Xenopus tropicalis: one gene and its partner. The protein of the gene in region 1 interacts with the protein of each later gene in a pairwise test. Links are inferred from orthologs where the notes say so. Each region holds a gene or a part of one and is shown in the gene's direction. Other genes may lie near its edges. The genes, in order: c5orf22 and elof1.

What was found.
Region 2: the proteins of c5orf22 (region 1) and elof1 interact in binary tests that used the Homo sapiens proteins (3 or more experiments, as listed by UniProt). The two-hybrid records come from large-scale screens. The link is inferred for Xenopus tropicalis from reciprocal best matches to the Homo sapiens genes C5orf22 and ELOF1.

What each region holds. Positions count from the first base shown.
Region 1 is NC_030682.2:84,259,595-84,263,415, forward strand, and holds part of c5orf22 (UPF0489 protein C5orf22 homolog), read left to right. Parts: intron 1-511; 5' UTR 512-518; coding exon 519-593; coding exon of another isoform or gene 594-609; intron 610-3,475; coding exon 3,476-3,621; intron 3,622-3,821.
Region 2 is NC_030679.2:139,392,228-139,396,148, reverse strand, and holds the start of elof1 (transcription elongation factor 1 homolog), read left to right. Parts: upstream 1-925; 5' UTR 926-978; intron 979-1,572; exon of another isoform or gene 1,573-1,638; intron 1,639-1,729; exon of another isoform or gene 1,730-1,825; intron 1,826-3,010; 5' UTR 3,011-3,042; coding exon 3,043-3,158; intron 3,159-3,389; coding exon 3,390-3,460; intron 3,461-3,921. UniProt on the Homo sapiens protein: Factor involved in transcription-coupled nucleotide excision repair (TC-NER), a mechanism that rapidly removes RNA polymerase II-blocking lesions from the transcribed strand of active genes.

The sequences.
Region 1 (3,821 bases):
TATGGTAAAGCTTTCTGCAGAATAAATATAGCTTTCCAGCTTGCACTAATGCTAATCTATTGGCAGTAAAATGGCAAAATGCCTTTCCTTCTTCTTTAAGCTACTAAGAAATGATCTCCTGTTTAAATAAAGCATGCATTGTTTTTCCATATATTGCATTATATTCAAGCCAGCCAATTATGTCAAAGACATCCGCAATCTGGTCAGTTCCATACTGATTTTCATCTGATTCATTAAAAATTCTACTGCTTCATTATACATTTTTTACATGGACTGCGTTTTACCTGCAGCTTACAAGGTTAAAATTCCTAAATAGATGCCCCCCCTTTTTTTTTTGCCCACCACAAGGATCACCTGGCTGTAGCTAGGAAAGGTGGGAGCTGGCCACTGGTATCACCTCGCTGTAGGTGGGAAGGGTGGGAGCTACAGCAGCTAATTTCTTGTTCTATAGGGCAATTGTGCGAGAAGCAGAAACTATAAATTTGGTTTAAATGTTTTTCTCCTCCTCAAGTGTCACAATGAGCAGCGAACAATCTCACCGCCTACGAAAATACAACAATCTACCAGTCTGGGTCGTAGAGGATCACCATGATGTACGTAGAATGGCAGGTACAGTTAATGTATGAGTGCACGCAAAGGACATTCTAGATGTCCTGGGTGTAAAGTATCTATTGGACAAAATTACATACATACATATTACATACTTTGACTGCCAGTATTGTATACATTTGCATAATCATCCTACGATCTACTGCAGTAGAATTTACCCACAGAAGCTCCTGAGTGGTTGCATTGTTTATCCTTGAAGAAGAAGTAAACTCTAAACAACCCCCAGAATAACATACCTTAGTGCTTTTGTTCATGGCTGATAGAGAAGAAGCTTTCTGGGAGTGCACAGTGAGTCAGGCAGTTATGAATGGGCACAGGAAAAAAAGCTGCTGCAGTACACTGGCTCCTATTCTCTGCATTCCCAGAAAGCTGCTTTTCTGTCAGCCATGCCCAGAAGGCTCTCCTCTTTGACTGTCCTGTAGTCAGACATGAGGAGAGCTGAACAGGAAGAAGGGTGGGGCTTCACTGTACCAGGAAGAAGGAAAGGAACTGGAAGTTTCAACTTATAAATCAGAAACCAGATCAGACTAAATGTAGGGACTAAGTAAGGTATGTTATTCTGAGGGGTTTTTAGAGTTATTTTAAAGATAGGTGAAAAAAAGGTTTAGTTCTTCTTTAAGGTCTAGTACATGTAACACAAGTTTAGGTGATATAATATAAAATATAAGTACATTTTATTTGTTGTAATTTAGCTAATTTGTGACTTCTTATTTTATCCACTGGAATATACAAAGTAAATATGGAAAAGGGTGTTAAAATCAATCCAGCTAATTTTAAGTTGCATGTACACCAGAGTGACAGCTAGCTGGTACATGACTTTGATCAGAACAATCATATACAGTTTAGATCAGTGTCTGCAGAAAATCTCCCTTTTTAAGAATGGTTTAATTTGTGTTGAACATACATATTGTGCATTGTTTTAATATTAAAATGTTTTTTTATTCCTTGCCCTGCTGTCCTCACTACGTGTTACCCTGAGCTTGTGTGTAGTTTGACATGCAGCTAAACTCCTTCCTTCATCAATTAACTGAGACATACTGTTGAGCTTCAACTTAAGTAACAAAGGAAAGGTGTAAAACTAGCGGAAACGGAAAAATGACAGTGCTTAGTACACAGCACAATATAAAATACTGCATAGTGCATTAAACACTGTAAAGTATGAATAAACACTAATATGTAGAAACATATAAAAGGTGAGAGGCATCTGAGTGAGAGTAAGGCCTAGATGCCCGGGAATTACTGATAGCAGTACCATGAGGTGACTGCACATAAGTCATAAACCTGAATAAAGGCACAAGCCATGTAACTGATCAGAACCAATATGCTGCTTAAAATATGCTATTTATTTAAGAATTTAATTCATCATAGGGCATTTTAAGCCCTAAGTGTTTCATGCCTATACAGGACACTTTATCATATAAATTAATCATTAATTACATCAGTCCGGTTTTGTTGCCAGCCTGTTTGTCAAGATGAAGAACCATTTCCCAGCCATAAATTCTGGGATTTGGCGTTTACAGAGAATCTGTGCACCACCTGTATAAAAACAGAGGACACTTTAAAGGAGAAGGAAAGGCAAAGTCACTTGGGGGTGCCAAAATGTTAGGCACCCCCAAGTGACTTAAATCGCTTACCTGGTACCCCAGGCTGGTGCCCCTGTTAGGAGAAATCAGCACCAGCCCAGGGTACCTTGAGCGATCGCTTCCTTCTTCCTCTTTCTTCTGCCAGCAAAATCCCTGGGCCGCCACATACGCAGTAGAGCGAAAAGCTAACTTTGTTGTTAAAGTTCGGCTTATCACTCTACTGCGCATGCACTCGCGCACAAAACAGGAAGAAGGAAGCGCTCGCTGCTACCCCGGGCTGGTGCTTTTCTCACCTAACAGGGGCACCAGCCCGGGGTACAAGGTAAGCGATTTAAGTCACTTGGGGGTGCCTAACATTTTGGCACCCCCAAGTGACTTTGCCTTTCTTTCTCCTTTAAGAACAGACCTTTAAGTCCTATAATTCATCAGTTTACAATGGAACATGGGAAAGCAGGGGCTGGATCAAGCTGTGAGGCTAAGCAGGTGGGGGGGGTGGGGTATGGTCCCTTCAATACATTATTATTGTTTCCTTAAAATCTGTGGGATCAGGCATGTCTGTGTAAAACAAAATTCATTTATATTTATAGTGTTTATGCACCTTTTTTTTTACAAAAGTCCAAGTGTCCAACGGAATTAGCTTACAGGGTAAAGTAAATGTTCCCTTTTAAGTCATCATCGAGATGATGTTGACACTTTTTTTAAAAAAAAGAAAAAAAAAACCACTAAACTCTGAGGTGTACCTTTCTGGAAACTAAATGTGTTTTAAAACAAAGCTTGAGCTGTTGGTTCCATCCTAGTATTACACCCACTTGCCAAGTCTCACTGCACAAGTAAATTGGTTGCAAGACTTATTTATTTATTTATTTGTTGTGTTTTCCATTTCCAGGTGTTCTCAGTTTTAACCAGCTCCACTACTTACGGCATAAACTAGAACCTAAACTGTTCTGCCTACTGTTTTCACAGTTAAAAAAAGAAATACATCATTACTTTTACCTCCTGCTGCCTATCCCTTTCTAACAAACTAAATCATAGTTTTCCATTCTATATAATAGCACCATTGTTTAAATTGTTACCTCCAGAGTTATCCATTGGTTTTACCCTCCAACCCTACTGAGTTAATCTTGTGGAAGCGTTAATGATTCTCCTTTGCTAGAAACCCTCCCTATGTATATCATACAGGGAGCAGTGATTTTGCAGCAGGAGGGTTTGAAACTAGAGCAGAAACAACAATAAATGGAATCAGCCTGAAAGTGCACTTTTTACATTATGTTTTCTCTCTGCAGGTCCTGCCCTTTATTTATCGAGCTATAGGGTCAAAACACCTGCCTGTCAGCAACATTAGCTTCATTCACTTTGATTCCCATCCAGATCTCCTGATACCAGTGAACATGCCTGCAGATACTGTGTTTGACAAGGAATCCTTGTTTAGGTAATGCTTTGAAATTATTTTCTTAAAATCTTTGCTTTTATTTGCCTTGTTCTACTTAATAGATCTTTTCAGTTCAGCAGATAAAACGTGAGCAAATTGTTTGAAAATATGTTTATTTGTTTTTTGGCTTGCTCTGTTGTGGGCTATATTTCCTTGAGAAAGCTATTTAAAGTAGAGACAAAACATAAACAGATAATGAC
Region 2 (3,921 bases), on another chromosome or scaffold:
AGGGCTGTTCTGCCCCCAATAAGGGGTAATTATATCTTAGTTGGGATCAAGTACAGGTACTGTTTTATTATTACAGAGAAAAGGGAATCATTTAACCATTAAATAAACCCAATAGGGCTGTTCTGCCCCAATAAGGGGTAATTATATCTTAGTTGGGATCAAGTACAGGTACTGTTTTATTACTACAGAGAAAATGGAATCCGTTTTAAAATTCTGTATTATTTGATTAAAATGGAGTCTATGGGAGACGGGCTTTCCGTAATTTGGAGCTTTCTGGTTATCGGGTTTCCGGATAAGGGATCCCAACCTAGCCCAGTCTGAGTGCCCTTAGGTAAATAAGCAGCCACATTACTATAAACCCAAGTCAAGGCGCTTTACTGTATTCAGTCAAAAAATGAGTGCAATTCAGCTGTCTTTAGTACTTGCGTCTCTTACTTTTTTATATAATAGTGTATTTTTAATGGTTGCCATTGGGAGGTGTGTTTTAGTGGAATTAGCTAAAATAACTAGTCAATTAAAACCAGCAAGGTAAACAATACAAGGACAACTTTTTATTCAAACGCAAATGATGCAACCCCACAGCAATGTGTACTAAGGCGGGCATTACGTTTCAGTAAACAACCAATAGGATACAGCGAGGCTTTCCCTCGTGTTCTAGGCCTCGCTTAGCAACCAGCACGCCCCCTAGCAACCCGTACCTGAGGTGACGCTGCAAATATCCGTCCAATCGGAGCTAGGATAATCTCCCAGCCTGATCCAATCGCTTACCGCGTAACGATTGGCATGGCCGTGCCGCCAACCATCGTCGCAGCTGTTAAACACGAAGAACCAATTAGAGCGCTCAGGAGGCGGGCGCAATGGCTGCTCCGGATCCGCTGATTGGAGGCCGCTGTGGTCACCGGAAGTTGGAAAGTTAGGAGGAGGATAAGCATTGAGGCGCAGTGAGAAGAAGATTGCGGATTACCAGGCGGGAAATAGGTAGATAGAAATCTCCGATACGGTATTATACGCGTTAGAGTTCGATTGAACCGCGCTTGTGTGAAGCTGCCCTTGTCCTTCCCCTGTGCGGCTGCCATTACACGCATGTAGCTGTGTTTATTTGCCCACGTCGGCGCCACGTTAGTGACTAGAGCTGCGTGTCTGTGGAGCGTTATACCCAGCAGGCTTTCACAGTTGCGTGGGGCATGCTGGGAGATGTAGTCCAACAATTAGCGAAGGGAATCTCAGAGGCAGCTGTTGGTGTTTATGTGCGGGGCTTATATCTCCATCGCTGATTCGCCTTTCTCTCAGGGAGGCGTTGGGTAGTTGCAGTTTGCCCTTAGGATCAGGTCGCCATCAATATTTGCTTAAAAGCCCCACACAACACAGAAACCCCTAATATACCTTTTAACTGTAATCTGTTCCTTCAAACAGTAGGAATAAATCCCATTTATAGGCTGAAATCCAGCTGCAAAACAGCTCTTCTCTTTCTGCATCATTTGAAATCCCGGCAGGGGAGGAGGGACTAAAACACTGATGTTACAGATTGTAACAGCTTCACAGCTTACAGACAGCATGCAGGGACTACATAACCCACAATGCATTGCACTGGGATGTTCCTTTCCTTATTGAAGTCACGTGTGCTGCTAGAGCTGGGCGGTATGACCAAAAATTTATATCACGGTATTTTTCAAAATTATATCGGTGTCACGGTATTTGACGGTATTTTTTTTTTTCCATGCATGATTAGGTGTTAACCCCGTTTCCTAATAAATTAGAGAATAATTACTGCAGTATTGAAAATCAGAGTCAGGCAAGCGAAGGATCGGCAACAGAAAGTCGTAAGGTAAATCAGGCAGGCTTAGTTCCCAGGCAAGGCCGCAGACAACATAGCGCAGGAGGAGGTGTTTGATAGCTTTAAATACCCCCCACGCATGCGCAGAACCGGCGCCGTCAGCGCGTCATGGACGTGCACGCTTTGACGCGCGTGTGTGTGTGTGCGCGCAACATCCCACGGACAACGGGGCGCGTGTAGGGGCGCTTCTGCCATTAGGCGAGTTGAGAAACTCACATCAGGCGGCAGAAGCACCCCAGTTACCAGGGGCGGCAAAAAGCCGCTCGCGCGAGACCGGGCCGCACGGGTGAGTGCCCTTACACACCGGTATTGCGGTATCTGAAAAATGAATATAGTTTAAAAAAAAAAACACTGGTATTCGGTATTAAACGGTATATCGCCCAGCCCTATGTGCTGCAGTGGATTGTGGGATTGGAGGATGCAGGCTGAAGGCAGGCCGAGGACAGGCGACTACTGTTACATTTTATTTGAGTCACAAAGTAGTCATCCAGATCAGCAGGGGGTGGGGCCACAGAAGCCCCCACACACGGGGCAATAAGCTGCCAATTCGGTCAGTGTATGGCCAGCTTCAGGAGCAAAATGCCCTACTGATGCTAATCTGGCAGCCATTGTTGTTTGTCTGTATATATAATATATAGAGAATATAGTCTCTTCTCTAATGCTAAAGTCTTTAAGGGTATTGTTTTGCAAGTTAATACACTGGATCTGATTAACCAGCCTGCACTGAGGGATGATGGGATTTGGAAAACTGGATGGGGGTGGCCATATCAATTTATTTTAGGATAAAGCAGGTTTAAGCAGATGCTAAGCTTTATATACACAGCTACTGCAGTTGTAATGCCCCTGCTTGCACATGAGAAACAATCGCCTAGCAGGTCTGGAAATGTCTTGTGTTTATGGGAATTTTGGGGGCAATGTGGGCATATGTTACCATTTTGGTCTCTTGCCTGATGCCTTTTTTTTTAGCCCATACAGCTGGCTCCAAAATGCCTTCTGTGTGGAGACAATGATTTCACACAACTGCTGCCCGACAAGCAATATCATAAGATTCACATAGAGGTCAGGGGAGGCATTTTGGCCCCTCCTCCAAGTGGGCAAGGCAGCCAAGTTGTCCCTGTGGGAATGTTTACAAAAATGTTTACCTGCTAAAATGTTTTTTTTTGTTTGTTTTTTTAGCTTTGATTCATACGTAGAATCCAGAGGCAGAGATGGGACGCAGGAAGTCAAAGAGAAAGCCTCCACCCAAGAAGAAGATGACTGGGAACCTTGACACCCAGTTCACATGTCCATTCTGTAACCACGAGAAGTCCTGTGATGTTAAAATGTAAGCAAAGCCGTTTCCACTGGGGTGAGAGTGCACCGTGGGATTGTGGCTTGGTCAGAGCTCACGCTAGGCTTAGCAGAGATACAGAGAGATGGAGTAGCAAGGGGGTGGGGTGTTTAATGGTTTAGTCTGTTGTAAGGGAAAGGGGAAACACCCCTGTGACTTCTGAAGTCCTTCTATAGCCGGTAAATCTGTGTAACACTTGTCTTTCCCCCTTTTCCTTGCACACAGGGATCGATCGCGCAATACGGGTGTCATTTCGTGTACGGTGTGCCTGGAGGAGTTCCAGACTCCAATAACCTGTATCCTATCACTGAGTGTTTGTTGTCACCTCAGCCATAAGGTGGTAGTTAAAAGTGTATTGCAACTAGTGATATTGTAAGATAGTTTGCAGTTGGTCTACTTTGGTTAGTTTTTTTTTTAATTATTTAAAAGACAAGTAAAGCAAAATATTGCTTTTCACTTATTGTGGCATTGGGCTGCTTTTCCACTTCACCGCCTAGACCCCCCAGTGGCCTCAAAGTAGGTGCCATTTTTAAATCTCAAGCTCGGAGCCGAGTTTTGGAAACACAGAGACACCGTTTTATTCCAAGCAGCGTTCTGCAGGCCAGCAGTCTACATGGGGCTACCAAATAGCCGCCCTAGCAGCCCTTATTTAGCTTGTGTGGGTTATCAACACTTTTACATTTAGGGCTCTGGCACACGGGGAGATTAGTCGCCCGTGACAAGGGAGATTTGTCAACTACCATCCCACCAGCGAACA